Stegostoma tigrinum: one gene and its partners. The protein of the gene in region 1 interacts with the protein of each later gene in a pairwise test. Links are inferred from orthologs where the notes say so. Each region holds a gene or a part of one and is shown in the gene's direction. Other genes may lie near its edges.

Region 1 (10,823 bases):
ATGAATAGGGTAAATAGACAAGGTCTTCTCCCTGGGATGGGGGAGTCCAAAACTAGAGGGTATAGGTTTAAAGAGAGAGAGGGGAAAGATTTAAAAGGGAACTAAAGGGCAACTTTTTCATTTGAAAGGTGGTTCGAGTATGGAGTGAGCTTCCAATAAATGGGTGGAGGCTGGTACAATTAAAAAATTTAAAAGGCATATTGATGGGCATATGAATAGGAAGGGTTTAGAGGGATATGGGTCAATTGCTAGCAAATGGGACTAGATTTATTTAGGAAATCTGGTCAGTATGGACAAATTGAATGCAAGAGTCTGTTTCGATGCAGTATATTGACTACTGAAGTTTGTTTCTACTACTTCTTTAGGTATGCATTCCAGCCCATAGAAACATGCTCCTTCATTCTCTTCTTTTGCCAATTATCTTAAACTCTTTCTGCTAAGCCATGTATAGTTTCTTCTTTTTTACTTCATCAGAACCTGTCAATATGATTTATGTATTGTTACTACAATGGCGTAGTCCTCTGCAATATGATTATATTCACCAACATTTCAGAAACTGTCATTACCTGTGAGACACCGACAATGGGGACACTGCATGGCAGCTGCTGTGTTTAATTTTTTTTGTTTCATGTTTTTCACATCAAATACCTTTCTCTGTCACATACAGGTATATGGTTCACTTTATGGAAAACAATACATCACAAGTTATATCCCATAAAATACAAAGGAAATGCACTGTTTTCACTTACTGTCAGCAAAGCATTGAAAAGCCAAGGAATTAAACAACATTTCCAGACACAGGCCTTAATCAAAAACACACTTTCACTTTGTCATTGAGTACTACTCTGTGACACCCTCAGAGAAAGAGATTACAACATGTGCATGTCAGAAAACCTTTAGAATAAAAATTTCAAATGCGCAAAATCCATAAAAGTATTGCTAAGGGGAGGAGGTGACTTAAGGGCATTATTGCTAGGCTAGTAATCTAGACATTCAGATATTGAATTTTAAGTCAACAAAAAATCTGGATTGAGAGTCTAATGATGACCATGAAACTGTTGTTACTTGTTGAGAAAACACCATCTGGTTCACTAATGTCCATCAGTGAAGGAAACCCATCATTACCTAGGCTGGCCTCTTATGATTCCAGATCCACAACAATGTGCCTGACACTTCACGGGCTCTAGGAAATTAGGGATGGGCAATAAATACTGGCCTATCTACCAATGCCTACATTCTAAGAATGAATTTTTAAAAAGTTGTGCATAAGTTAAGATGTCAAGAATTACAAGTCAGAACTGGAGGATGCATTACAAAAACCATGGGAAGGTAGTGTTTTATGATGGATGGAAGGAGTTGACTAGGAGGTCAAATGATGACATCTTTCAGAATATGTCCAGTGATATTTGGCAAGTCATGGATCATTGAGATGGCTACAGCAACAAAACCAACGGTATCTACCAGGTAGAGATAACTTACCCAGAGATATCCCGGAGGCAGTAGCGAGCAGGATGCAGGTCGACTGCGCGTCGTGACCGATGTTTTATAGGAAGAAGAACATTCACACTGATTATCCCTCAAAGACCCTGTTTAAATGTAACAAAAAAGAAATCACATGAAAACGGAGACATTTTAACCTTCTGGGGGAGAATTTGTCAGGGTTATCCTGGAGCACTTAATGAAATTCCAGAACTATTCCGGCAAAATCTGGATGTCGAGCAGAAGTGCAAGATGGCCTATGTAAATAATCCCTCAAAAAATGTGGTCTTTGAGCGGCACTGTCTATCAGTCGCTATGACCACGATTATCAGTGGCATTCCCCAGTCACATCAAAGACAAGCTTGGCCTATGTAAATCCAGGTTACAACGAAAGAGAATGAATAAATCTGAGTCTCGGGTTCGACTATAGGAGCACATTTGAACAAAAGACATGCCAGCGGAAGCGCAGTCCGCCAGCAGAATGCAGGATCTTCCCGTGTGTCTCATGCAATATTTCTAACCAAGAACCGACTGTTCTCCGTGGAATAAACTCGCTATACCGACCTGATTCAGATTATCCTTCACCCATTTGTACCAGTTGCTATTCTCCACATCCCCCAGCCCCTTGCCGGAGACGATCACTGCTTTGCGGAGCTGGTCACTGCCGCTCGGGCCCACTGGAGAGGTGGAGCCAGTCCCAGCCACACAAAACCTGCGCCTTACAACGTGAAGGGGATTCTCACTCTTTAGGCATTTCGTCGATTAGTATATTTGGATAAGAAACCACTGCAGGCAACCCCGCCGACTGATTGAGACAAATTTTGACCTGGGAATTGAGTTCAATTTTTGGTTGCGAGGGTCTGAAATACTCTACAGAAAGTAGGCTGAATGTTCCTCTTCTGAAGTATAAAGTTCATTACTGCTTGGAATTAGCGCACAGCAGCAGAATTAGTACAAACAACATCATAAAGTAAACAATTAGCTTGCTCAAGCAATGGACAGGTTGATTTGAAAAATTCACCTTTATTCCTGGATATTTTTGGAGGAGTTTTACAGATTATACCTCAGCCGAAATCCCACATTATCTTTCAAAGGGTTCACAAGATGTGTTGCTAGCAAGTGCAGTATTTATTGAACATCTCTAATTGTTCTTGACGAAGACTGTGTTAGCTCAAACTCTTCCTGATATTTACGAAGTATAATTGCTAAGTATTTGTGGTGGGATTGAACATTGCCGGGGGTAAGCACTGTTGAGCGTTTGAGCATTGTCAGTAATGGGAGTGGGCCATTGCCAGAGTGTGGTAGTAATATTGCAAAGGCCGCTGAGCAGGATGAACCATATCATGTGTATGATCATTGGTGGAAGTGCAGGCAACTGGGGACTGTTGGGATTGGGGTGTGCCTTTGTTAGGAGGGTAGATAAGGGGTGTGAACATTATAGGGTGCAGTAGTGGTGAACTTTGTTAAGGGGTGTGGGAGTTGTGCTGGGTAACTGATGAGGAGGTGTGAGCAATGTCAGGTAGAGTAGAATCTTAGAATCTCTACAGTGTGGAAGCAGGCCATTCAGCCCATCAAGTCCACACTGGCCCTCCAAACATCATCCCACCCAAACCCACCACATCCCCATAACCCTACATTTCCCATGGCTAATCCACCTAGTCTGTACATCCCTGGTCACTGTAGTATAGTAGGACTGTGGGAGGAAACTGGAGCACCCAGAGGAAACCCATGCATACGCGAGAAGAATGTGCAAACTCCACACAGAGAGTCACCTGAGGTTGGAATTGAACCCTGGTCCCTGGTGCTGTGAGGCAACAGTGCTAACCACTGAGCCACCGTGCCAGCCCAAATCAAAATAACATGATACTGATTGATAATTCCTTTAACAAATTTCTGCAAAAATCTCTGAAGATGAATCATGCACAGTGTTGTAAGACAAAATAATATGGACTTTTAAAAAAACATACAACTTACCCTTGCCAAATTGAAGAATCACCACTATGCAGCAATTCATCTTTTTCATAATTGTCTATGGCAAGCTTGCAGGCTAGGTTTGCTTTTTGCCAAGCTGTTTGGTTGCTTAACATTTGCTTGCAGTTGGTTTTGTCAGGGATTCAGGAATAAACATTGTCAGTTGTGTAAAATTGCGTGCATTGTTGGGTATAGAAAATGCTGGTGTGTTTGAATGTTAATGGAATGGGATCCGAGTATTGCTAGATGTGGAGCAGAAAGTAGTGCATTGGTGTGAGCAGTGAGAGGGACAGGGATCCTGTGACTTGTCAGGGGTGCAGTAGATTGAGCATTGTTGTGGGAGGCACAGCATGGGTGAGCATTTTCAGTGGATTTGGGGACCACAGGATTTTTTTAGGCCTCCCCTAAACAGTTCCTTCCATCAATCACCAAATTATACCTGAAATTAATAGAAAGGTGGGTAAATATCTGAGTATGTATAAGGCTGAATGTTCATTGTGAGACCCCATCAGAAATGTCTCAATGTAATTCTTCCCATTGGAAATTTGAATTTCCTGAGTAAATGCTCCATATTTACATTTTAGCATTCTCTTTTACCTTTAGAAAAACTGGATCTGTGTTCAATCTAACTGAGGTAATACTAACTTTTGGCTATGTAAAATGAGGGATATTGTATTGTTCATCTATTATGCACACCATCCAATTTTCCTTTCCATTATAGTAATGGGAGTGTGGAATGAGCAGCAATTGGATATAGCTCTTTGTCTTGTGGTACAGCAGGTAAGATCCCTGCTTCAAAGCTAGAACTCCAGGTTTGAGTCTAATTGGCCTACTGTTTGCAGTTTTCCACCTCCCTCCTTTCTTGCACACTGCTGTCACACTTGCTGCTTTTGAAATTGTTGTGAGCTTTCTAGAATCTAGGGAAATCCTACCTGGAATCCAGCAAATATATGGAAAGAACTCTGAAACAGAAAAAGAAGCAAACAAGATTTCTTACCCCTCACTCTAATCTGGTCTAAAGATGTTTAATGTTGAGAGCAAACAAGACATCTTTGAAGGATAATGAAAAGTAAGGGAAGGTAAGGGGTACAATTAAAAAGGAAAACTTTCATTTTGATAGTCTTTCACACCCCTAGACTATCACTAAACATTTTACAATAAATTTAAATAATTTTGTAATCATTGTTGTAATTTCAGAAGTAGGGAATGTATGAAAGAATCCTAATGATAGAGCTGCTGACCCCCTTCTAAGAAACTTCAGCAGGGAGAAAAAGATAAGTTTGAAGGTGACTACAGCTGACAGGAGAGAGAACATAGAATTGAATGGGTATCTCAGCAATGAAGAGATGGGTAGTGATGCAACAAGTGGTTGGTGGGAAAGACAGTCACCTGAGAATGTTAATGAATAGGCAAAATGTTAGGGGTCACGATACCAAATAGATGAGACTAAATATGATTGTTGGGGTAAGGAAACTTCTCATATTTATTCTAAAACTTTTATTAGCAATGTTAAAAAAGTTGATAGTTATTATCTACCTCAGTTGCTTTTCAGAACGAGCCATTATTTATGCCATTGCATGAAATGGTACAAGTATTCATAAACTACAGTTGGGTGTGGATTTCCAAGATTTTGAAAATGCTAATGAGGAATATTATTTCATAGAACCTCTACAGTGTAGAAACAGGCCCTTTGGACCAACAACCCTCAGAGCATCCCACCCAGATCCAACCCCCTCTCACCCAACTAATCTAAACATCCCTGAACATTACAGGCAATTTAGCATGGCCAATACACCTCGCCTGCACATCTTTGAACTGCAGGAAGAAACTGGTGCACTCGGAGGAAATCCACACAGAGAGCTGCCTAAGGATGGAATTGAACTAGCATCCCTGGCATTGTGAGGCAGCAGTACTAACCACTGAGCCACCATGCCACCCATTAAGGATGTTGAATCTGGGAGCAAAACTCAACATGATAACGCTCCTGCACACTTTGTCCTTTCCAATGATGGAAACTGAATTTTGAAAATGCTGGCAAAGAAGCTGTGGTGACTTGTCGCAGTGTATTCTTTGGGTAGTAAATACTGAAGTAATAATGTACTGCTGGTGAAGTTAGTAGAGGCTTAAATATGTGTAGATTGCCAATCAGACTGCTCTGTTGAGTTATTTGAGTGTGACTGCAGTTGCACCATCCAGACAGTAGAGAATATTTCATCATCCTCATGACTTCTGTTGGTGATGCTTTGAGAAAAGCTGAAGTGTGTCACTTGATGCAGGACAGCCAGTTTCTGTTCTGAAACTCCATTTTCTCTCCACAGATGCCTGAGCTGCTGAGAATTTCCAGAATTTTATTTCAGTGCCACCACCCCTTTCCCACCCCTCATCAATCTTCTGACCATTTACGTGGCCGTTCCTTTTAGTTTCATCAATAGTTCCCAGGTTTTTGATGTTCAGGTGATAATTTTGTTATGAAGATTAATTTCTATTACAAACAAACCCTACTGTTTCTATGCAAACACTTGAACTGTCCCCAGAAGCCTCTGTAGATCAGGTAGCAGGAACAAGTGAGATTCTGAGGTAGCATGCCAAACATCATCACCATATTAACATTGTCACAACTGAGTTGAGGTGATCATGAAGCCAGAATGCCAGACACTTGCTTCCCAACATGATTATTCTACGCGAGCTTTAGTCTATATAGCGGTCTCCTGGTAGTGACTGCAAGTGATACAATGCCACACAGGTTTCACTTGGAAATTTGGATATTGACCCGAATCTAGCAGCTTACGTTTGATCATTGCATGTTATGGGGCAGCCAAAGGGCCAGTCGACCCAAAACATTATCCCTACTTTCTCTCCACAGATGCTGCCAGACCTGCTGAGCTCTTCCAGCAATTTCTGTTTTTGTTTCAAACACAGACGGGTGTGGCCTACTTCGAAAACTTCTTATCCCGTTTTATCACCTTTATTCCCATCAGCACCTTAAACAACATAAGACGATCGAAATAAACAGCTTCACTCTCCAAAATGGATACAGTCACTGAAATTCACGTGATCTCGATCTTGCCCCTTCCTAGACCCGTGGTGACGTGTTAAACCAGGCGCATGCTGAGCTGTACTTCCTGTCGTAGACGTCAAGAAAGGAAATGACGTAAGGCCGCGGAGCAGGAACTGGGTGGAGGAGGACGTGTTGTCAGGATCGGGATTATCGAGTGAAGGAGTCGCTCACTTTCGGGGCTTTTCGCGGACTAGGTGATCTCCTTGTGATCGTTTAGCACGCAGTGTCACTGGACATCAGTCCCGGTGTTCTGCTGATTAACGCTCTGCAAGTCACTGGCCGCAGTCATACTCAGGCTGATGTATAACTGTGAGGGATGGTGGTGCTGCTGCTGGTAATAGGTGTCATTGGTTTGGGTTCGTTGACACTGTCTTAATCGGCAGGTATATACTGGGGGAATTGCTAGAACTGTGAGTGATGGTGAGAAAACGGGTTTCATTGGAATTGATCTTTGGCAGAAGGTCGGGTTTCTAAGAGTCGTAGAGTTGTACAACACGGATACAGACCTTTGGGCTCGATTCGTCCATGTCGATTAGATACTCTAAATTTATCTAGTCCCACTTGCCAGCATTTGGCGCATATCCATCTAATCCCTTCCTATTCATGTAGCCATCCTGATGTCTTTTTAATATTGCAATTGTACTAGCCACCACTTCTTGTGGCAGTTCATTCCATACACACACCATTCTCTGCATGAAAAAGTTGCCCTTCAGGTCCCTTTTAAATCTTTCTTCTCTCGCTTTAAACCTATACCCCCCCTAGTCCTTGCTTGGTTATTTATGATTTTGACATCCTTAGGATTGTAACAGACTGCTAATGGATTTTGAATGTGAGCTTGTCTTCTTTCTCAGCTTCTTCTCCATACAAAATTAACTGTCTTAAAATTTGTTTCTCACACTTGTGACTGTATAACGATGTATAACTGCAACTGTATAAACTGCAGTTAAATTACAGTTGAGAGACAACAATTAACAACATCCATTTAAATGCACCCATAAACTTTGTAAAATATTTCAGGGTCATTCACAGAGGTGTTCAACATAGAAAATTTCATTCTTAACTTAGCCAACAAGTCCCCTAAATCTGCTGGCTGAATTCTGTGATCTTAAAATAAGTGTATGTGTAAGTTGTAATCTTGCAAAATTTCCTGCAAACGTAGCATCTGTATTCAAGAGGAAAGCACAAAGCAAGAAACTATAGAACAGTTATCCTTATGTCTATCACTGGAAAAATGCCAAAATTCATCATTAAAGAATTCACAGCAAGAAGTTTAGAAAACTAAAATACAATCAAGTTGAATCAACATGGATTCAGGAAAAATAAATTGTTTGAAAAGAATTAGAATTCTTTAACAAACTTAATACGCAGGTAGATAGAAAGGAATCTGAAGATGTAGTGTATTGTAATATTTGCAAAGATCATTCAATAAGTGGCACAGAACTCATAATAATGAAAGGAAAGTACTGCAGTTACCAAAAGTCTGAAATAAAAAGAGAAAATGCTGGAGAAACTGGCAGCATTTGTGGAGAGAGAAATGGGGTTCACATTTACAGTCTGATCTGTTTCTTCAAAACAGTTTACAAGACATTAGCATGCATGTACAGCAAGTAGGTGAGGAAGGTAAATGGACTGTTGGCCTTTGTGGCAAGGGAGTGGAACATAAAAGTCGGGAAATTTTGTCACATTTACATGTGGCGTTGGTGAGACAATACCATCCACAGTTTTTTTTTCTGTCTTTATTTCAGGAGAGAGATCCTTGAATTGGAAGCCATACAAAAGATTCACTAGGCTGATTCATGGTATGAATGGATTTTGTCTTCAGTTGGGTGTACAGTCTTTGGAGTTGAGAAAAATGAGAGGTGATCTTGTTAAAACAAAAGATTCAGAGGATGTCTTAAGAATGTAGATATTGGGTGATGTTTCACTTCATGAGCAAATCTAGAACATACCTAAAATAAGTACCCTCCTGATTAAGACAGATATTTCTTCTGGGTATGATCAATTTTCGGAATTCAGTACTCTGAGAACATGGGGGCTAGCTCTGCAGAACATAATTAATTTGAGGACAGATTTTGATTTACAAGTAAATCCAGGATTATGGGGACTGACAGTAAAGTGGAGTTAAACTACCAACAGCAATTATCATCTTGAATGTTGGAGCAGGTTGAAGGAACTAAGTTGCCTGCTCATATTCTTTAGAACATGAATGTATCTTTTGAACAAACCACTATAAGAGGATCAAGCTTTTGTTTGACATTGATTACTGGACTACCCAAGTAGGTCTTCTGTTATGTGGCCATCCCACATTGGTTAAACTTTGTACTATGAACCTCTCTGTGCTTTGCGTGTTTACTTTTTTCATAAGTTTCTGATGTTTTGTGCTGCCATTGAATTTTCATGACTCTTCTGAGGCATTGTTGATGGAATTACTTCGGTTTTCTGATGCAGTAACTAAGTGTTGCAGCTATAACACGTACATAGGTAAGGATCTATATTTTATTTGTTGGCTTTCAGTTTTTTTGCTGGTTTACTAACACTAATCCCATAGGCCACACAGAACATTTCAAAAGCGTTCATGACTCAAGACAATCTGATTCACCTCAGTACTTTAGTTAGCTATCTGCTATAAGCAAGGTGTACTGTTGGTTATATTGGATCACACCCTAGTTGTCCACAATTCATTTCATTTATAGATATTTTCCAATCAGCCTGTTCACAGATGTTATTGTACACCTCTGGGTCAGATGGGATTTGAACTCCAATATCTTTGTTCAGAGGTAGAGACACAGGAGCCCCATATGACTCATCTATATGCATGTTTAAATTGGTGAGGGTACAATACTTAATGTGAATATTGATTTTTCAAGCGTTTAGCAAAATATCGCATATACCACTTGTTAGTAAAATTTGGAATAGTTAGAGGAGATGGTGTCACAATCAAAATTGGCAATTACAGAAAACAGTGAATGGTTGTTTGTCAATTTAAAGGATTCTACAATGGTTCCCCAGTGAGAAATAAAGACTGTAAGAGAAGGGTGTACCATTAGTGCCAACAAAGAAAGTTGAAAATATTACATTGAAATAAAAAGATAAGTAGCAGGCCAGAAGTGTCTGAAGATTATGAACAGTGTTAAAGAATTACTAAAAAGAAATAAGAGGAGAAATTAGAATATAATAGCAAGCTAGCTAGAATTATAAAAACAGATATTAAGAGTTTCTTCAGGTATTTAAAAAGCAATAAGAAGTAAAGGGAACATTGGTCCTCTATACAGGGAGAGAGACTGGGGTATTAATAGTGGAAAAACAGAAATGGTATATGATTTTTGTCTGTCTTCAATATTGCATCCCAGAAATAATTCTGAATCAGAATCTGAAAGGAATCCAGCAACTTAATTTCAATCACCAGGGAAAGAGTACTGAGAAAATTCTTCGAAAATTTGACAGGCTTCCTGGTCCTGATAGACTTCATCCGAGGGTGAAGTAGCTGCTGAAACAGTAGATATAATTGTTTCAATTTTCAAAAAATTCCTTAGATACTGGAAATGTCCCATCACACAGAAAAAAGCTAATGTAACTCCACTTTGCAGTGAAACAGAAAGCTAGAGGCCAGGTAACCAAATATCTATCAGATGAAAAATGCTTGAATCTATTAAGGACGTTGTTGCAAGGCGCTTTGAAAATCTTATTGCAAACAAGCTTTTTGAAAATTGTCTTGTGAAAGGGAAGTGGATAGAGGAGTCAGTGGATTTACTCCACTTAGATCCCAGAAGTTATTTACAAGGTGCCCATCAAAGATTAAGTAAAACTAGAGCTCCTGGTATAAGAAGAGGCATTGTTTTGCCACGGATGGAGGATTGGTTGGCTAACAGGAAGCAGAAAGTGAACCCAAATGAGTAACCTTTGGGTTGGCAAGATGTGATGAGTGGTGTGCCACAGGCATCAATGATGGAATCTTATTTGCAATGTATATAAATGACTCAGATGTAAGGACCAAAGGTATGGTTTCTAATTTTCCTGTTGGTACAGGGCTTGGCATGCAACTAAGTCGTGAAACGAACATAAGTGTTCTAAGGGACATGGACAGCTTAAGTGAGTGGATAAAAATTTGGCAATAGTCTCTGCTGGGGTTAACTGTGAACATGCCCACTTTTAGTGGAAGAGTAGAAAAGCTTTGAACTACTCAAGTTAAGAGATTACTGAACTCGATAAAGAAGAATCTGGGTTTCTTGGTAAACTAATCACAAGAAGTCAAAATATAGATTCAGCAAGTGATTAGGAAAGCAAATAGAATCTTGTTGTTTATTGCAAGGGAAAT
Region 2 (10,728 bases), on another chromosome or scaffold:
AGCCGATGCTGTGCTTAAGCTGGTCTTTTGTGCATCAGAAATAAGTTTGTTAGGATTGTTGTGAGGTTGCTTTTTCAATAACTGCCTGTTTTCAAAACATGTTTCTCATGATCTATGCTCTTGTTTTTACAATTAATTCTATGTTCAGATTAATATTTCTGTATATTGATTTCATTGTTAGTTGAGAATATGACATTTTGTTTGTTTGTTATGAACTTGCCTCAGCCTTCCTGAGCCAGTATTATTAGACCTGTTAATGTATAATAAGTTGTACATAGATGTAAAACCAGGTTAAACCAACTGACAAGTGGTAACTTGTTTAATGGATTTAAAACTGTACAGTGGAATATCCTGCCCTATTAGTAAACATTAACTTTTAAGTGCTGTTGCACTGTAGCCATATATTGCGTGGTGACATTAAATGTATTATCCCACAAAGACAACTGCCTTTACCTGACTGATAACATTTTTGTTACGTAATTTATGTTTTTTTTTCTCAATCAGTTTATATCATAAATAAAATAGAGGTGTTTTACTCCTATTCATTTATCTCAAACAGAAACCAGTGCTAAATCTTTTTCACTTATGTTCTGCTCTTTAAGTGTTACATCTGCTACTTTTTATGTATAGAGTGTCTGCCACCAGCTTTCCAATAAAACTAACTCTTTAAAGAGTACTCAGTCTCTGTCTGTAAGTGCAAGAATCTTAAGCATTTCACTTTTTTTAATAAAAAAAAGTCATCTGTGATTCAGTAAAATGGTGGAATAGGCTTATCAGTCCAAATGCTGCTTTTGTTCTTAGCACCCAGGCTGCAAGACAGTTAGTTGCTGCTGAGTGGGTTACACTTTCATCTCAAAGTCAAAAATGTTCATTCATTTCAAAACCCATTGAGTAGCCCTTGTTGAAGTTCAAGGCGGCACCATTCAGTTCTGGAGAGCCCGGGGCAGTAGTTCAAAGGCTTTTACGAGCAGCACAGTCATATCTTCAGGGGGTTGGGAAGTGTTAAGAGAATGTACAAAAGGGAAGGGGGTCTTGGGGGAGGGTAGATTGTGTTTGGTGATGAGCACTCTGGCTTTGAAGTGAGGGGTACAGGGAGACTATTTATGACCACAACTGGCATGGTCACTTCAAATGCCAGGGGCTGGAGGGGTAAGGTTGGTAGGTGCAGGGTTATGTAAGTAAGTTGAATGGGGACTGGGTGGGTATTCATGGAAGGGAACATGGGTTTTTTCTGCCTCAGTGACATGTTCAGGTGGAGGCTGTAAGCCACAGGCTGCGGAGCACTCATTATTGCCTTGTATTAGAACCATCTACAAAACAGGACACAGACTTGCAGAGTCTCTGTTCTCTGGCTTCCCTATCGCATACCCCCTCTTTGTGTTGCACCTCCCTGCCCCATACATCACTAGCCAACACTTTTGGACACAGAGTAGGGCAGTTGTACATGGAAGAGAAGGATGTGAGCAGAACCTATTGCTCTGTGTAGGCCTTGTTCTTCTGGGTTCCAGAAGAAGTAGCAGGTTCTCAGCACAGATCTCAATTCATGGAAATTCATCTGTGGTCATGAAGTGATATCTCATACTGTAATAATGACTAAACTGAGAGCCAAACAATTAGATGTAAAATGAGATCAGTGGCATTTATTTGTAAAGGCCAAAATAATACATAATGCATTGTCATAGATCTTTGTCCTCTCCCTCTATGTCTTTGTGTACTCCCTTATTCTTCAGCTAAAATAGAGTGAGCCTGTTTGGCAATGGAGCCCACTCGCCTTAGGGGCTTTGTCAGGCAACACTAGGGGTATTTGTGCCTAGATGGACCACATATGCTTCCAAAAGTCAGAGTGGTGTAGGCAGGGGGCAAGTGAAGGACTTGGCTACTTGAGAGGAGCATTCAGAGATCGTTGTGCGTGGTTCTTCTTCCTGGTAGCTCCTGGTACAGCCCTGTGTCCTGGTGAGGAAGGGTCACCTGCTGTTCACATTGACGTCCCTCTCCCCTTGTCGCTGTGCCTGAGGACCAATGGATGGGGCAATGGAGTGTAGGTGTGTGTGCATCTCCAGCAGTCATTGAGGGGACTGAGTCTATCTCTCCACGGATGCTGCTTTTCTGTTCATGAAAGTAGCCAGACTGTGACATGACTTACTTCACAGCTCCAGATAATGAGGGCCATTGTGTCACACAAGGCTGAATACTGCTCCTGATCCATTCTGTTAATATGGACTAAGCTTTTGATTGCTGACACCGCAGGGTTCTCACCTGCCTGGGGCTGTGCAAGTACCCAGTCCGGAAGTCCTCCAGGTGCCAGTTGTCTGAGCCATTTCTTCCTTGTCAGGTGCTCAGCTGTCACAGTGAGGTGCTCAGCAGATTTTGCTTCAATATTCTTTAAGCCTAACATTACCATTCGGTAACATTAGGTGTCAGTATCTGAACTGGTGGGCAGTGCAGAAGGCAGACCTACTGGTGCATACTCCCTGGCCTTCATCCTTTTATTTTCCGAGGTAGCTTCTGGGGGAGTCAGCCACTTCAATGGACATTAACAGTAACTGCAGTACAGAAGAGAGCAAAGTCTTCATGGTTAGAAGTGGTCTGTAATGAATTACACTGGCAGTGGGGTTAATGTGAGAGTTGCAGTGCAATGAATGTAGTTGGTTGGCAGGACATGGATGTCTCAGCATCTCTGCAGTTGTTGTCCTGGCCTTTTCCTGTAAGGACCAGGATTATTTTCACTTTTGGGGTGAAATCCTTGATGTTGGGCAGCCCTCTACACATATGGGCTCTTCCTGCCCTGTTTAGCGGCTGTCTTCTCCTGTAATGAGGGATTGAGTGAGATAAAAGTAGGTGGCACAGCTGTTGGATCTGATGCAACTGAGCAAAAGGTGGATTGGTGTCCCAAGGTAGCATAGAGATCACACAGGGATTGGAAGTCTGGGGGCGGTAGTTGCAGGTAAGAGGTGTTGCAAGCGACCGTGAGAGTGGTAGGTCATGAACCTTGTGGGAGGTGGGTGTAGTAGCAGTGACCAAATAAGAAAGCAGAGAGTGTAGCACATAAGCTGGTCACGTGGAGGAGGACCTTGACCCTATCACAAAACAGTGGGTCATCCCCTCCACACTATAGAGATGGCATTTATCCATAATAACAAAAATCCAAAAATAAGCAGCCCTCCTCAGCAATCCCCTCAACCAGGATGTCCTTTCGAGAGAACCATGGTGCCATCTGACTTTCTTTGACATGTTCAGAATCTATCTGTGACTGAACAGAGCAGTCATTCAAAGATGGCGTGGGCTGAAGGGATGCCGGTCTTTCAGCAGGTATGTGCTGAGTCATGAGTTTTTCTCTGGAGGACATGTTGTAAGATGGGGCCAGAAACTGACATGGCAGATGCTGATGGGACTGGATCAGTAGTTAAAAGCAACAGGTTTGGAAAGAGACACAAGAAAATTCATTAAATCTTGCAGCAATAAAAAATCCCTCAAAAAGACTCAGTACAACTCAGACTTAGCCGAAAGAAATATAAGACTCAGCCATTTGTCTTCCCATTCAAAACTGAAATGCACTGGAAAGTGTTTAGTCTTTTATCATGGCTGCTTTAGGTCCTTTGAGTATGAGTTAGCATGTACTGTTGAGATTGTACAGGACGTTGGTGAGGCCTTTTCAGGAGTAGTGTCCAGATCTGGTTGCCCTGTAATAGGAAGGATATTATTAAGCTAGAGAGTGTCCAGAAGAGATTTACCAGGATATTGCTGGATATGGCAGGCTTGAGTTACAAAGAAAGGCTGGATAGGCCAAGACTTTTTTCACTAGAGCATAACAGGTTGAGATGTGACCTTAACGAAGTTTATAAAATTATGAGGGATATAGATCGGGTTAATGGGAGGTGTCTTTTCCCCCAGGATGGGGGCTTTCAAATTAACGTGAAAGGAGGGCAATTTAAAAAATGATGGGCATTTTATTTTACACAGAGGATGGGTTATGTGTGGAATGAACTTCCTGAGGAAGTGATGGATGTGGGCACAGTAACAATGTTTAAAAGAATTTTGGATAAGTAGATGAGTAGGAAAGGATGGCGTGATTGGGTCCAGGAGCAAGCAGGAGGAACCAGTGTAGTTTAGGATTATGTTTGGCATGGACTGGTTGGACCGAAGGGTCTGTTTCTGTGCTGGAAGACTCTCTGACTCAATGATACCATAATCAGCACGAATGGTTGGTCTCAAGCTATCAATTACTTTTCAATTAACAACAAATTGCATAAGATTGCTTAGAATATACCTCGCAGCAATAAGGACGTTTAGGCCAACCTGTCATTGCCAGTCTTTATCACACACTCACACCTCCTCTCATCCTTCATCATCAGCATAAATCTTCAAATAAAACTCAAACACTGCAGCTACCGGAAATCTGAGATAAACAGAAAGTGCAGGTCTGGCAGCATCCGTGGAGAGAGGAACAAGGTTAACATTTCTAGATAAAATGACTTCTGAAGAACAGTCATATCTGATTCAAAGTCTTGTTTTGTTTCTCCACAGATATTGCTAGGCCTGCTGAGTTTCTCAAGTATTCTCTGTTCCTTTGGCATAAATCTTGTATTCTTTTCTTCCAGATTGGTTTATCAAGGTTCCCCGCAACCCCATTAAATACATCCACATTATCTACTTTGTCTTTCCATATGGTATCGGTTGCCAGTCCCTCCGAAAAAAATTGCTTTGCCTGAATTCTATATTGGATTGCTTGGTGATGATCTTAAATTGCAGGTCCCTTGTTTTGCTCTTCCCCATAAGTTAAACACTTGTGTTTCCACTCTTATCAAAACCTTTCATTACTTTAAAGATCCCCCTATTAGGTCATCCCTTAGCCTTCTACTTTTCAGCCTGTACATCCATCCTGATAGGTATAAGTGTTCTGTTTTTATGGGATAATATTTCACATGAAGGAAAGAAGTTCTACGGAAACAGAATCATCACTGCCAGCGAACGAACATCTTTAACTCTGCAATCCCAATATTTAGCATGATTTCTAAAATGAACAAGGAAACCTCCACCTGACTACTACCTACTACCTTGCCTCTGTATTTATCCACGTTGAGCACCACTTGGAAGCAGCACCAAGTACAGCAAAGGCACAGAATATTCATTGTAAAGGGGACTTCAATGTCCCTCACCAAGAGTGGCTCAGAAACTCCAATAATGATAAGTTGATAAAGTCTTGAAAATAATATGTCAGGATGGGACAGCGAGTGTTTCAAAAATCAAGGAAAATGGTGAATTGACCTCATCTTCACCAATCTACAGGTGCATCTGTACACAACAGCTTTGGTAGAAGTGTCAATGTACAGTCCTTGTGAAAATGAAGATCTATCTTCACATTGAAGATGCTGTCCACTGTGTTATGTGGCGTTATTACCAGGCTATATAGAACAGATTCAGCACAGATCTAGAAGCTCAAATCGGACATACATGAGATGCTGTGAGCCATCAGAAGGACGGTATTCAACTACCATCTGTAACATCATACCTCTCATTACATTTACTACTACCATTAAACCAGGGGAATGACTCCTGTTCAATAAAGAGTTAGGAGAGTGTGTCAGGTGAAGCGCAAACTCAAAAATGATGCTCCAATTTAGTGAAACCACACTGCAGGACTATATACCTACAACACAAACAACATGCAATTTAAAGAGCTACAAAATCTTAGATCCAATGAATCAGATCAAAACTTTGCAGTTCTGTCGCATCCTGCAGAAAAGTCATGGACAATTAAGCAAGCAATGAAAACAACTGTCTCCATGAATATCCCCATCCAGAATGAATGTAGAGTACATGACACTAATAAGGCTGAAGCATTTACAACATATTCAACTCGCCATGTCAAGTGGATGATCTTAGTCTCATTCAGAGTTTGCCAGTATCACACTATACTCCTAGGCAAACTGTACCTGGCCAATTGTAATGCTAGCATGGATTAAACAATGTGGAAAATTGTATAGGTATGAACTATTCATGCCTATGGATGTGAGAGTGGTGCTGGTGGTGGAGTAGGGGTGGAGTCCGGTGGTATCAGTGAGGGTATGTTGGTTGGCATGTCCATGGACGTCAGCCAGTGTGATGGGTGGGGGGTGTCAATGGGTGTCAACAAGTGTGTGAGAGGGACAATGAGTGTCAGCGAGGGTGTGGATCAATTAGTGCCAGTGAGTCTGTGCGGAGGGAGAAGTCAAAAGTGCACCAGTGTCATTGTGAGGGCCACCCTGTAGGAGTTGCCCGTTTAAGAGGCTTCGATGGTACGTGGCAGCTGCTGACGTACGCACTGCTGACGTGGCCGCTGACGTTACCGGGACGACGGAGCCATCTTGGCGGCTGCAGCGGTGGTGGAGACGGCGAGGGACCGACACCCTGGGGAGGTGAGAGACAGACACACACCGACACACGGCGGGGGGAAATCAGGTGTCAAGGAACGAGAGAGACCCTTGGCCGTTAAGGCTGATACAGGGACGATTCCGACCCCCCCCCCCCCCCCCCACGTGTTTCCCCGCACCGGGGATGCTGACCTAGCCTGGATCTTCCCCGTGCCTGTTGCTCCTGGCCTCGGGACCCAGTGGAGCTCCAGACGGGCCCGAATTTGGGAAGCTGGCCGCGGTGATTTCTGCCTGGCGTTCGCATGTCAGTCCGAGGACGCCCTCTTTTTTTCAGACTTTGAATGTTACCGACGTTTGCTGAAAACAAAAAAAAAATAAACGCCAAATTGCCAAACCGTGCCAAGTTCAGTCGGGGCTGAGAAGCGGGTCCCTGCCTCTGAGCCACAAACGACGGTGTCCAGTCCCACTTCAGGATCCGATGGCCTTGGGAGGGGGTATGCTCCTCATGTAGCCATACAAAGTTGAACTTGTCACTTATGCCAGTGACAGACGATAAGGATGAAAGAAATTGCTGTTTAATCAGTCTCGTGTGGTACCTGCAGAATATTAGCTTTCCATTTAACCCACCCTCTCCATCCCACCACTACGTTTAAGACTTCACGTCCGGGTTTCAAGGTACAATCGCTAACCTCCTCCCCAAACATACATACGCACGGTCTGATGTAAAGCTCTCCCCCGTTCTAGCACATGAGTAATCAGGCAAATTTTGATGGTCAACTCTATCACGGAATAATAGGACTGGCACCCAGAAGCTTAATTTCGGTATTAAGCAATCCGTTACAGAAGGGTGGAGCCGCAGGGGTGCTTATGGAGGGAATTCTGGAGCTTACAGGGAATGAGATGTTAAACACAAGGCCCCTGCATCTCTTTAGGTGAATGTTAAAAACTTTAGTGCACTTTCAAAGAGGTGTTATTTCTGGCATTATAGCCAGTGTTCATTCCTCAATTGAAATTTCTGAAGCAGTTTCTTAGGAATAATGAAATTGCTGTTCTTGAAGATTCACGTGCACAGATTGGTTGCTATTTCCTACCTTACAGCACTGAATATTGTACATATCAAATAGTATTTCATTTATAAAGTGCTTTGGGATATCCTGAGTGTGTGACATTTGCTGTATAAATGCAAGACTATATCGATTTTATCTGTCATTTGTCCTGCCACCCACTCACTTTCTGTCCAAGTTACATGATCACCTTTACCTTATTGTATCGGTCAGCATCAACTCACATAGTCACAAAGTATTGATTTTAAAGATGGGCTGTTAGAGACTCAGATGATTCCCTGCAGTTTTTGTTGGCAGCATGTTACTCAGTTACTGTGAGTTGCTGATTGTGCTCAGTAAGAAGTTTTACTGAAGGTGGCACGATGGCTCAATAGTTAGCACTGCTTTGTAACAGCACCAGGGACCCAGGATAGATTCTAACCTTGAACGACTGCCAGTGTGAAGGGCACATTCCCTCTGTGTCTGTGTGGGTTTTCTCTGGGTGCTCCGATTTTCTCCCCCAGTTCAAAGATGTGCTAGTTGGTGGATTAGCCATGCTAAATTGTTCAGGTGATTAGGGATGTGTAGATCAGGTGGATTAGCTGTGGTAAATGCCGATTACGGGGCTAGGGTAGGAACTGTGTCTGGGATGGATGCCCTTCGATGTGTGGGTACCGACTTCATGGGCTGAATGGTCTGTTTCTGCACTGTGGGGATTTTATGATCCTAAATGAAGGAACAGAAGTGTATGGTCAAGAGTGTGGATCAAATGCTGATATTCATGGAATGTCTTCCATAGACTGACCTATCCCCTCCCTACCTCCCACCTATACTCTCCTCTCCACCTATCTTTTTTCTCCATCTTCGGTCCGCCTCCCCCTCTCTCCCTATTTATTCCAGAACCCTCTCCCCATCCCCCTCTCTGATGAAGGGTCTAGGCCCGAAACGTCAGCTTTTGTGCTCCTGAGATGCTGCTGGGCCTGCTGTGTTCATCCAGCCTCACATTTTATTATCTTGGATTCTCCAGCATTTGCAGTTCCCATTATCACTGATACCTAAGTCATTTAGCCATTTCTACTTGTGCTTTTTTATCGCCACCTCAACCGCTGGCAGCAAGGTTTGCCATCTGAGCAATGTTCTCTTGTAACTCTTCAGATATTCAGCGTGGTTCAAAACCTGTATCACGGAAGAACGAAGGATTGTAGGTACACACCGCCAGCTACAATGTCCCCTCCATGTTGCTCTTCATTGAAACATGAAAATCTTTTGCTCTGCCTCCGAGGTCAGTGGATGAAAATCCTGGCACTCGTTCACAAACAGCACAGCACTCTGGATGAATCTTCATGTGGACTGCAGCAGCTAAAAGCATCCACCCCATTTACAAGGATCATTAAAGATGGGCACTGTATATTAGCTTTGCTTAAAAATGCTAATACCTCAGGAATAAATACATTATAAAAATCTCCCCCTTTTAGAGTTGCAATTAAATATGCTTCCACCACCCTTTTTTATATAGCAGTGAAATCCAGATCATAACTCTCTGCCTAATTTTTTTTCTTTTTATTTTGCTGATTTTCATGAATCTCATAGGGCTTTCTTGCTAACACTGCAGTAAGTGTACCTATGTCCCATAGATTCCAGCAGTTCAAGCTGGTGGCTTACTGCCACCTTGAAGAAAATTTGCAGTGAGCAGCAGTTGCTGGTCTAACTGCTGATCGAATTTTTACAGCACAGAAGGTTGGAGCAAATGTGAAATTGCAAGCTCTGTTAAAGAACAATTCACATTGCCCCCTGCTCATTGCCCACGCACCCTATAAGGAGAAAATTGCAAAATTGTGACCTGTTAGTAGCCCTGCCATCTAACCAGTGAAAATATCTTTTGCTTACTCATTTTGCATGAAAATTTCCCAACCCTAATGCCTCAGCCTACAGATTGGGATTTTTTTTTGCGCTGATGTCGCTGGATTGACTTTTTGACTCTCTGCTATCAACATTGAATGAATAGATGTAGCTAACCATTTTTCCAATCTATACAAATGTGGATACTTCTGACCAAGTGGTTCTGAATTTGGAGTCAAGAAATATAACTGTTGTATTTCTTTGTTTTTGTATGCTTGCAGAAAATTGTGATTGAAGGAAAAAAATGATGGAGGAAAGTGGGATTGAAACGACTCCCCCCAGTACCCCACCACCTAGCACTGCAGTGACTGCAAGCAGTCCCCCTGCCCCTACAGGTAGTACTGTTTTAAATTTCAAACCAAACATTCAAGCAAAGAATGTATATTCATAGACAAGAACATGTCAGTGAGTAAATTTTAGTATTAATTAATTAAATAACATAGAATACCTTGATAAACATTCACGTAAGTGTGTGCATTTTATTTTCTCCTGATAATCAAGATTCTGATTCCAGTTTTTGCAGATTGTGCTTCACTGCATGAGATTATCTCCAGTTTTAAAAGTTATAAAAGTTGTTAAGAGGGGAAAATGGTAAAGAATTTTATTGTAAGATCAGTAACAAGGGCATTGATATGGAAAAGTAAAAATTGTAAATAATGTTCCACTAAGAAGACTAATGATTTTAGGGTAAACTTTTAAGAATCGTGAGAATGCCAGACTCACTTCAACAGGAAGTGGTTGAGGTGAAGTACTTGGACATATTTTAAGGCAAAGCTGGATATATGGTGAATAGTGGTAGTGAGATGAAGATGGGATGGGATGGAGCTCAGAGCATTAACAGAAGCATTTTTTTTCTGTGCTGTAAAATTCTTTTTAATTCAAAAACCCATGACTGGTAAAACTAATGAGGAAGTTTCAAAATTTTCTTTTTTTGATTTGTGAAGTATTGTTTCACAAGTGCCTATAAAGAAAAAAAACTGCAGTTGATTTTCAATATTTGAAAATAGCAAATATAAATGGACAGGCATTGATAATGGCGAACGGAACATAGCATTGGTTTGCCATATTGACAAAGCTACACTAATTGACCAACATTCTGCAATCATTTCTGTGCCTGTAGATATTATAGATGAAATTGAGATTTTATCTGGATACTTAGTTGAAACATTTATCAACTGTTTTCAATCAAAAATTTAATCTCTTGATGTGAAAATGTTTCATCATTCACAATTTTTATTAGCAAGCTTTATAACATTAAACCGAAGAGCTTTTTACTGTGGGTTCAGTATTGCAAAATTTTGAATCTTAAATCAGATATGAAGCTAAATTTTTTTTATTAGCTAGTATCTGAAATCACTGAAATGAGTGTTGACATCTGGGAAGAGATTGATTTGAATGGCATGTATTCCCTGGTGTTTAGAAGAATCAAAAAGTGG
Region 3 (11,143 bases), on another chromosome or scaffold:
CCATGGTGAATCCGTCTCCAGATCCCAGATAATCAAAGTTAAAAAAAATCAGATTATTGCTCAATAAACCTTCTACGTTCGAGCAGTGGTGGTGAAACTTATTTACTGGAATAATAGAATACACAAAAAATTGTGGTATTCATTACGATGTTGGGATACGCATTTCAGGGGCCGTGCATTTGCAATGGTCGATGGCTGACAGTGCGTGGAAATCTTTGGGCCATGAGAAAGGTCGAAATAAACAGCAACTTTAAAAAAAGGAGAAACTATTTTTTCCAACATTTATTTCATATTATTAAATAATAATATTTTTGATGCATAGTCGAGCAACAAACTTTATCCTAATGTTAACAGCGTTCATTTCTTATGTTTGGATTAGAAACACACAAATGAAAATGTTGACTTTACTGGCAAGCGGTTTGGTGAAAACATACATTCTTTCACTGTTCCCTTCTTCTGATTTGTTCATCCTCGATTATTGTTGGTGATTTATTTCCTTGCAGTCGAACTGCAATCCGTAGCGGTATTTCATTTTTACAGAGGAATATTTCATTTTTAAGAACTTAACCCAGATTTCTGATATCTGTCTGTTTTTCCCTTCTGGACTTAGAAGATAATAAGTAGCTATCGCCGTTGCCTGCAGTGATAGACATCCTATATATAAACTCTCACCATATTTGTGCCAGATTAAAAAACATAAAATATAAAATATATTTTAATAGAGGAAATATTTCGAATTCAGACCATAATCTGGAGCGCTTCCTGGGACATCTACCGTCGTTTCGTTGCGGGTATGCACAGGAGATATGGAAACATGCGGACCGTTCAGTCGTTTTCCAGCAAATATACTCTTTTAACAAGCGGGGAGCGATGGTAGCGAGAAAAATCTCCTGATGAGCGTCTCTGCTGGCGTAAAGCCAGTCTGTTTAGCACAGGGATTGGGACATGCCAGCGGAGACTCCAGAGATCAAAAGAAAACAACATTTCAGAATATCAGAGCAAACAGTTCCTAAAGGATCGCAGACGGAAATGCAAAAAACATGTTTTTATTTTAACAACCCTTTACTGTTAACGCACCAGGTGCATGCTTGCTAGACTGTCTTGCTGCTGTAAATGCTGGCGATGATTTTCTACGCTTAACCCTGTCAAAATATGCCCATTAATGTGGAACATAAAAGCAACTGTTCCGCTCGAGAGGAACGAAAACCTTAAACACAGGAACTGGACAATGTGCCCGGACATTGAGGACAGCAGCTACGTAGTCAAGTTCTGTGATCTAACGAGAAGATTGGGAGAAAACGAGAGAGAGAAAAAAAAAGTTGTAAAACAGAAGGCGGAAACGATACCCGGGGTAAATCCCCTGCGGGGTTCCAACCAGATTACCTAGCAACTCTAAAAGGTTTCTACAGAATAGTTGTTGCACTGAAACCCGTCAGAGGAAATGTGGTCATCTCCAAAGTGAACTCGTCCATTTTAGTAAATCAATATAAAAACAGGCTTAAATGTTAAAACAAAAATCCGAGAGTTCGTAACAGAGGCTAGCATCACAGCCATTTTGCGTTTTGATGTTGCAATATTTCTCTTGTATCTGTAACCCTTACAATTTACCCACATGGATTATTCTCTAATCTTGAGTTTAGATGTACATTCAATCTTAATTCAGTAAATCCCCAATGTTTCTTACCGTGTATAATGCCTTAATGGCATCGTAATACAGCAAACCACTGCACGGGGTTGGAGGGGGGCGGGTGCAGCATTTGGGGGGGGGGGCAGTAAAGAGAGAAATACAACTGCTCATTTATTTTCAATTCTTCCACCCAGCCTTTTCTTTTAAACCAAACAGCGTAGGATGCACCTAAATGTTATACCAGGGCGAGTATATTACTATTCATGATTGCTGCTTCTTTTAATATGCGGCCAAATTGTATGAGTTTCATTGCATATCTTATTCTCAACAATGTTGGAATCATACCTGCGTTCCCAAACCTTTCACATATAAATGGCACAGTGGCTTGGAAAAAAAATTAACAGAAGAACGTTGACCTTTTAAGGTGACGCAGTCTTATCGATACTTTCAACATTAAAAGATTGTGCGTGATTTTAGCACAAAATCTTTTTGAAAATAGTCGAATACCATGCTATTTACCACCTGTGATGCCGAATGCTATTGGGTGAAGGGATCACATGACCAGGTCACGTGAATAGAAATGAGTCGGGCCGAAGGAAAATGGGTGCTTGGTGTAAATCGGGGGTGTAATGCTACCATTTATCACGCTATCTCGTAAAACCGACACTGAAGTCCTGGCCAACAAATCACCAGACAAAATTATGAGTTCGTCGTATTATGTGAATGCTCTTTTTCCCAAATATACGGCGGGGACATCCGTTTTCCAGAACGCGAGTGGCTTTACAGAAGCAACTTCTTGCGCTTTTGCTACCAACTCACAAAGATCCAGCTATGGAGCGAGCGCCAGCGCCTTCCCAGCCCCGATGGCCGGCCTGTACAATGTTAACAGTGCAATCTATCACGGCCCTTCCATGTACAACACAGGTTATAACCTAAATTCCGATTCCTACAACCTGCGCTGCTCTGCCTTAGACCAGAACATTCCAGTTCTTTGCAGCGATCTGAGCAAACAGGGTTGCGAAAAATTGGATCAAACAAACGTGCACCCTCAAGCAGAGAGCAATTTCCGGATTTACCCCTGGATGAGGAATGCAGGTATGGGACATAGTGTAACATAGCGACGAGAAAACGTGCAAATGACCAGTTAAAATGAGCGCCACTACATCCTGAAGGTAGTTAAAAGTTTTAATGGTAGCTGAGGACCAGTTCCTCAAATGTACGTAGTATTGTATGTAGATAGCAATCATAAAACTTTTATTGCACAATTAATCAGTACAATCCTCGTAAAAGCACTCGACTTCCGTTCCTTTAAAGTTAACAGCAACTCACATATTGCTTGTTTACTCACTTTTATCAACATCAAATGAGAGCAATGTTCTTTACTGATACGCGGGGTAAAAAACACCGTCTTTTCTTGAATGGATGGGGACTGATACATTGCAGGTCTAAAGTATGTTTACAGATTGGGCAAGGTCGTAGAACTGAAGCTTTTTTTCCCTCTGTTTTCCACTCCGTGAAAGATCTTTGGGTGCTTGTAATGCGATCCCCCCCCCACCCCACCCCCTTAGTAGATATAAGTCCGTATTTGAAACGAATTACTTCGGTGCCATAAGATAGGAGCTCGAACTACAAGAGTGAAATTGTCATTTCAATTGCTAGCGTTAGAATCGAATCGTTTTGAAAAATAAAAACACACACATAAAAGCTGACGATTGTCGCTACCTGTCATTCCTGTGTCTGAAATATTAATACTCCAACCTCTAAACAAGGTGCAATGTTACTCCGGCAACCGCTGGGATGTAAATAAACTATCAAGAGCACGACGTGATTTGCACTGAAAATCTGTTTTTCTTTTCAAAAACCATTTTGCTGTAAGAAGGTTCCACTCGGAGCCAAAAAGACATTTTGCATTTTAAACCAGACCCTTGGCAAATCCTCTAAATACTTAGTTCAGCCACAAATATTTCAAAGGGGTTCTGTAAGAGCAGAGATGACGAGTGGATGTTGAAAACAACATACAGGGGAATGTCCGCACTGCTTGCATTGTGTATTTATGAAAGTTGGTTTTAAAAGCTGGGTTCATGGTTTGGCTGTTCTGTTCTTTCATGTCTTTCGCAGGCCCTGACAGAAAAAGAGGGCGGCAGACCTATACCCGTTACCAGACTCTGGAACTGGAGAAAGAATTTCACTTTAACCGCTATCTGACTCGCAGGCGACGGATTGAAATCGCCCACGCTCTGTGTCTGACTGAGAGGCAGATCAAAATCTGGTTCCAGAACAGGAGGATGAAATGGAAAAAAGAAACGAAAGCTGGGAGCTCTAGCACCACGACCGAGGAAAAGCAGGAATGAAATTCTCAGCTAAATCCTGAACTATGCGAAGAAAGTTGCTCAGCAGCCGCTAAACCATGACATTTGACTAGCTAACCACAATCGTGGACTATTTCAGAAATGTGTGCTAGCACTCATGATACTACCTATGTGTTTTAATAACTTCTTTCAAAATCATATCTTTAAAATTCGAGGTTCACTGATTTTGGTTTCAGTTATTTCTTTTTAAAAGATCAAGTCTTTATTGGCATTGGTAGAGAGCTAGGAATTGACTTCAGAATCCGTGTTTTCATCAACAAAGGGAAAGTGGAGGGTTTAGAACATTTGTCCGCAAATGCTACAGGGAAGCAGTCAAATTTGAAATGTTTGTTTTCTCAAGTTTAATTGAGAATCTCTGTCCTCAGTATTGCAAGGAACGCGAAAGAAATTCGAAATCCTTCTTCGCTGTTATTAAAATAAAATGAATTAGATTTGGATTCTGAACCTCCCGCAGTGCAATCAACGGGATAACGTTAGCCGATAAAACGCAATGTTTTAGTTTTAACCTAGATAATGCAAAATTCAAATACCACTACGTGTTTTAAAATATATCTCATGCACTGAACTACTTCTCAAACTTATTTTTTACTTCTGATATTTCTTCTTCACATGTATTGAAGTATTCCTGCTCACTGTTCAGAAAACAAAAATACCGTGATAATAGACGGTTGATTCCAGTCCAATCAAAGACCAAGTACTTGAGTCACTTTAACAGACATAGCAAGAATTGACAGAAAACTAACCAGTCGAATAAAATAATTTATTTGTATTAAATTCTTCGTTTTTATTGTTTTTATTACATTACTTCTCCACTGCTCTCTGAGTGTGTCGCTTTACACCGAGATGTACCGTTCTGTTAACAAAATGAAGAAGATTTTTCAAATCACATAGCAATGAAATGTAACTACCTAAACCACAATAGTGGACATCTTGCACGTCTTTTGAAACTACCTAAATGTTCGAATTGAATATTCGTTTCTTGATAGAGAGTGTTCTTGGAGTCTAGACTTTGCGCACTTCTCTAAACAGTACCCATTATATGAGAACAAAAATGTGAATAATATTCTGATGTACTTTTTTTTAAGGAGGTGCTTATATAGCCACTTTATAACACATCATAGTGATAACTACCTAGATACCAGTTTACATTTGACGCGAATGGAGTTGTTTCGTACCGTGCTTAAATACTATAATGTAAAAAAAGCAAAACAAGTTATATATAAAGGGGGAAAATTGCAATATTTCTCTCTGATTGATGGCATTAAAATGTATACCTGCTAAAGATTTCAAGCAGCCATGTATTATTGAATGATGTAATTGTCTTTCTTTAAGTCTGTTGTGTCAGTTGTCTTATACATGTGTACTGTCTAAATTATAAAATTAAAGAAAAACAGTAACCAAATGTAATAATAGAAATTCTGAAAAGCATCGTCAACTAGATATATTGTGGTTCCATATTCGGTATGGTATCTGTCAATGGAAAGTTTGCTTTGTAATATGTGTATGTGTTGTTAAATAATAACCGATGTTAAAGGTTTAAGGTGCAATCTATTTAAAATGCATATATTCGTTCCAGCCGTGTATACTTTAAATGGAGTCTCTGTAGACAAACAAAAACGAGAAATATTAAACGTTGCTTGAATAAACAGTGTGTCGTTTCTTGGCCTGAGCAGTTTACCACCAAATGAGTGGCTCCATGATTCGTTAAAAGATAGAAGTAGTGTCATTAACAGCAGCAATTAAATATAAATTATTTCAGAGTAACAAACGCATATTTTTATATTATAGTCCTATTCATTGACATCCAATCTGTTTTTCACCGAAACAAATGAATACATAATTTTTGTCCACGAAGTGGGTACGTTTTAGACAGATTAAAACTGAAGATGACAAGGTCCTTTGTGCACATTACGCTCACTTAGTTATCGTTGACAAGAATATTTTTAAATAAGACCGTGTTTGCAAGTAATGCATCTGATTTAAGGCGAAGGTTAGGTCGATGATGGGCTAAAGTTCTCAGAAAGCAAGCTGGACCCGATGCCTGATTGAGCTCATTTCCCTTTCAGAAGAGTCTAAGAAAAATGGAAAAGATGAGAACATAGTGATCCTAGTGTCTCTGGTTTCATAACGAACAAAAATTGTCATTCAAATAAAGAAGGAACCGAGTCGCTACTTCATCGCCGAGCTTGGAAGGAATATTCGGACAGGCGCAGACTTTATTTGTAATGCAAGCAGTGCGGCATTGTAACTCGTAGCTCATTCCCCCACGAAATAGAGCGAACTCATTGCCATTTTTAAAATGTAACATATTCAAGAAACGAGCAAACGAGAAGAAATGCGATGATACGTAAACCTGAATTGATTCGTTACAATAATCGTCTGAACGCAGAAACTAATGATTTCTGTGAAAAAAACCACGAATTACAAACGAGTGTTATGATCATAATACCGTAGCTTCAGAAATTAGAAAATTCTTTTTAAACCGCGGAAAAAATCTTTAATAATTTCACAATTTTAACTTGACTCTTTGTTAAAAATGGCGTCTAAGACCTGCCTCCTAATAGTCATGGGGAAATGTCATAAATCCGTTGTTGTTTTATGAAAATTTACAACTTTGCAATAGAACTTTACGAGTTGTTCGGTTTTTCCATTGGCCACTGAAAGTCATGTGGAGTGTAACCGTGAACATGAACTTTTTATAATTTCCCTTGCGACTATAGAACTGCATTCTTTTGCTTAGCGCGTGTTGGTTCGGATGTGAGAGCTTGCGGGCTTTCAGCAACGCATATTTTCTTCTTTTTACCCCCTCCGAGTGCAGTGATTATTCGCCTATGGAGTTTCAATGCATCCAAGCTTACAGCACAGATCCCGTGTCTGGCAGCTACGAATTTCTCCACGGAAGGTGGAGCATTGGATTAAAAAGCGCCGGCTCTGATCCGCAGGGCAGTTTCCTGCAGGTCGTCACCAAACGCCGCTGGCGGAATGCGGGAACCAGGGGCCCGGGATGGAGCTGAACGGACAGCTGTCAAACTAGACACGGGGACTGTAAACACTGACACTGGGGCTCAATAAATACGACAGCCGGTCTGTGCAGAGACCGGACTTGCCAGGCCAAGGGGTGGAATCAGCAGCAAGGTAAGGCCCATTCTCAGCGTTGTAGCTCTGCAAAACAAAAGCATTTCAAAAATGCCCTTTCAGCAAAGTTATTGTTAAAAACAACCTTTAAAGCTCTTTAATTTTGCCAAAGTTAAAGATCATCATGCTAAAATTGCCGACGACCTTTGAATTGTGATAACTCGAAACGTAGCGTTTATTGAGCATTCATTGAGCGTAATCTGGCCGTTTTAAGGGCAGTTTGTTATGCATTTGCAATTTTTTTTGGAGTTTATTTGTTTTGAAATGAGTGTGGATGATGTTTTTGACGTCTTACGTTCTGGTTGTTTCTGGCCAACAGCCGATCTGTTCGTTTCAAAGTGTTTTGCATTAGGGTCAATTTGACAAAAGTAACGCACGAGCATTGGTTCAGTTTTTAAATGTCATGTAGGGGGAATCTGGGAGTGAGGTTCGTTGTAATACAATCTATTGTAGATTCATTGCAGTTGAAAAATAAACTATTTATTCCATTTGAAAATAATTAATCTGTTACGGTGGCTGTTCTTCATTTAAATGATTTATTTCTGTTGAATTGCTGTTCTTGCTACGCATAGTTTTCGTTTAAGATGCAATAAATTTTAGTGTCTACTTTTGCTATTTTGTTCAAACATTTTCTGGTAGAAATCTAATGTATGCCTTAGTGTTTATTTGTGAAGCATCATCTCCAGTTATTTGTGGTTAATTTCAGTGGTGAAGGCGGCTCAAGAATGAGAAATGATCATAGATATTCTATTTCGGGTCTGAGCATGCAAATTTGCTGTCTGTTGTTTTTCTTACTTAACGCGGACGTTGTCTTTCTGACACTAAGGCACTTGGACCCGGCTGACTGAGGATGTGTGTGTTCGTGTGGATATTTATTAATGTTTGCTGTCCTCTTGGACTCGTTGCTGCCACCGTGTGTTTGGAGTGTGGTCAAACTTGTGGTGTTGCTGCGCAGCGTCTCACTTAGTCATGTGTTACTGATGAAGTAGTTGACTTGCATTCTTAAACTAACCGTTCAATGTGTCGCTTGGTGGACATGCCCAGTAATCAGCAGTTTGTTTGTATAATAGCACGCACTGAACTCGACTGAAATAGCACTTAAAGCGTTTTTGCATTAAATTATTTGTTGCGCTTTAGAAATGAGTGAAACTGTGGGCTTTGCTCTCGGAAATGCGAGACATCACGCGGTGTGTCACTTATACTATATTAGGCTTTGAGTGCAATACTTGTACTTATGAAATGCATTGCGCCAAATAGTTATTTGATCCGTAATGATCATTAATAAGTGTGCCATAATTATACTAAAGTTAACGGTCAAGGTATGCGTATTCATGGATCGAAATGGACAAATACACTTTGTTATTGATAAAGACTGGGAAGTAGTAAGCTTGCTCAATTTAAATCTACGGTGCCTCCTTAATTATATGGTTAAAGCGTGGTTACAACTCATATTTGTGATATTCGAGATTTTCTATGGAATTGTTTTCCTTGTGTAAGGAATATGAAATCGAATTTAACGAAGAATTTGAATGAACCCGATGACATAACAAGAAAGTGTTGTCAGTGAATGGTGAGTTTAATGAATAGGCCTGTTTAGTTGTGATAAAGCAATGCAGAGTTTTTTTTAATCTTTCAGAATGCAACTTCATTATTTATGTAAAAGATAGCAAAAAACTTTCGATCATTTAAACTCTCGAAGAACCACGGTTCTGGAACGGGTTACAGTTACATCAAAGTCTTTAGAACATTTATACTGCTTCCTTGCGATAATTATAGTTCAAATTGTGGCAACCTGTTAACGAGATGTGAGCGTAGCAAAAGAAATAATATCAGCGCCAGGTGGGTGGAAAGCTTGAAGCACGGCTGTGCAATTCACAATTTCAAAGATGGTATGTTATTTCCTTTCAGATGAATTGAGTAAGCGGATTAAATGCGTATTTAATATTTTTTAGAAATGTTTATACACATATGTTTTTTTAAAATCTTAGTCATGCTCACCAAGCCCAAACTAGGCCCCAATTCCACCTAGTAAACCAAGAGACATTCCGTCAGCAGTTGCTAATTAGGCTGTATCTGTTCTGGTCGCTGCAAGACCGGATAAGACTTGGGGAGAAATTTCTATTTTGTAAACGACATTCAAAATACTAGTCCACAAGTGGTGGATTTGAATATATTCCATCTTTCTTGTATTTTTTTTTAATTTGACGTTCTCTAGCTTCAACTCTCCTAACATTGAATACATTGAGTTTCGGATTCCATCGATTCAGAATCTATTATTTTATCTTATCATTCAGAAGGTTTGCTGTCTAGAAGGAAATAGAAATACGTCAACGGAAAGAATAAATCGCAGTGATAGTATTTTAGCTTTTCCCAGTCCATTTCGTAATTAGTTGTAACCTACCGTCGGAGGAAATTTAATCGGCGCTTTATTTTCTGAAACTGCAATGTTATTTTTAAAAGTATGAATTGCAAAATATAGAATTCAATTCTAGGTTAGTGATGAAAAAAGTTAAATTGTACGGTATTGCTTTCAACTCCAGAAGATACATAGTGTTCAAGTTATTATTTAATATATTCTATGGGCTCTTTAGTAGCAATTTTCACCACTCTGTGTGTTGATGGTCTCATTATATTGCCTTGTTTTCTCTAGTTTTCCTAACACGCGATGCAGCAGCAGTGGCTATTAGCTGTTCCACCTAATTGGAAAATAATAGCCGTGGTTTACGCATAGCTCTTTTGTTCATCTTTCAATATCACCTTTTACTGTTCAGCATTTAGTTCATTTGCACGACGCAACTTGTGTGAAGATGCTTCATGTTAAAGAATGCAGCAATTGTGGGAGCTTGCTAATCAAACCTTTACTTCTAAGACCTGGTTTGTGACAAATAATCGAAAATCAAAAATAAACACAAAGCAAATCCATTAACAGAAAAGATCAACGTTGATGAGAACTGTTCGAATTTATTAAAATTCAGTATACAATTGGAAGTAAACGCATAAATATAATACATGGTTAGAGGCTTTAGGGCAGAAACTGAGGAAAGCGGCAAGCGTCGGCCTTTCATTAAGAGGGGTCGAACTGGCTTAATCTTGCACATTTTCCTCCATAATTGCTCTGTATTTATACTCACACTTCGAACAGATATAGCTTTTGATTTCGACCAGCTTTTGGCTTTTTTTTAATAGCAAGTCTATAATTAGGAAAGAGAAACAGGTATAAGCTTGCAGGGCTGAAAATTAATCTACTTGTGGTATTTTAACTACTTGCATTAACTAATGGGGCATCCACACCAAAAAAAAACTGTTATCTGTCGAAAATGTAAAATCATCCAACTACTAAACGACCGCATTCACGAATTCTCCTTAATTTGTAATGATTGCCCACTAATTGCTAGGTTTCGAGTTCGGTGCAGTATGGGTGCAGTAACAGTATTTACTTGAGGGCTAAAATATCTTACTTGCCTAAAATATATCCACGTCCTCCTCATGTATGTCTATTATTTACAGTACCTCAGATATTTCAGTAAGAGATGTGACCACTGTTGACGGAAAGGAAACCTAACGAGATAATGAGATCTTTAGCAAGGAGCCTTTGGCTTCCGTCCTTTCATTGCGATCTGATGCCGCGGTCTGGGCGCAGCAAATGCTCTGTTATTCCAAAACACAAATGTCCCCATTGAGATGTTCAAAATGCCTAATTATTCGAAAGGAAACATTCCACTCTTTTATGGTCGATAAAACCTTAACAGTGTGCAATTATGGAAAATCGAAGTTGGGATTTGGGGAGTATTAGTGAATTTCAATCGTACGCAATTAAAACAACATTGTAATGGAAGTGAGCCATACGTAGGGTTATCAAGAATAAAATCGAGCTTCTCTATGTTTCGAGCTCGCTTGGCCGTTCAAATAAACCCGGCGAATGTTGGTTAAATGGAAGTGTTCCCTAGAAGTGTTGTGGTGTTTGTATATTAAATGCACATGTATATGCATGCATGCTTTAATGAAGAACGCT

Evidence for each region.
Region 2: the proteins of protein transport protein Sec23A (region 1) and prrc1 interact in binary tests that used the Homo sapiens proteins (3 or more experiments, as listed by UniProt). The two-hybrid records come from large-scale screens. The link is inferred for Stegostoma tigrinum from reciprocal best matches to the Homo sapiens genes SEC23B and PRRC1.
Region 3: the proteins of protein transport protein Sec23A (region 1) and homeobox protein Hox-A3 interact in binary tests that used the Homo sapiens proteins (3 or more experiments, as listed by UniProt). The two-hybrid records come from large-scale screens. The link is inferred for Stegostoma tigrinum from reciprocal best matches to the Homo sapiens genes SEC23B and HOXA3.

The regions. Positions count from the first base shown.
Region 1 is NC_081362.1:40,468,255-40,479,077, forward strand, and holds the start of protein transport protein Sec23A, read left to right. Parts: upstream 1-6,587; 5' UTR 6,588-6,702; intron 6,703-6,708; exon of another isoform or gene 6,709-6,891; intron 6,892-8,253; 5' UTR 8,254-8,304; coding exon 8,305-8,307; intron 8,308-10,823. UniProt on the Homo sapiens protein: Component of the coat protein complex II (COPII) which promotes the formation of transport vesicles from the endoplasmic reticulum (ER).
Region 2 is NC_081356.1:27,291,530-27,302,257, forward strand, and holds the start of prrc1 (protein PRRC1), read left to right. Parts: upstream 1-6,308; 5' UTR 6,309-6,395; intron 6,396-9,513; 5' UTR 9,514-9,536; coding exon 9,537-9,627; intron 9,628-10,728. UniProt on the Homo sapiens protein: May act as a regulator of the protein kinase A (PKA) activity during embryonic development.
Region 3 is NC_081355.1:57,685,102-57,696,244, reverse strand, and holds the start of homeobox protein Hox-A3, read left to right. Parts: upstream 1-6,723; 5' UTR 6,724-7,131; intron 7,132-7,139; exon of another isoform or gene 7,140-11,143. Other genes in the region: homeobox protein Hox-A7, read left to right, coding at 2,257-2,722, 3,746-3,978. UniProt on the Homo sapiens protein: Sequence-specific transcription factor which is part of a developmental regulatory system that provides cells with specific positional identities on the anterior-posterior axis.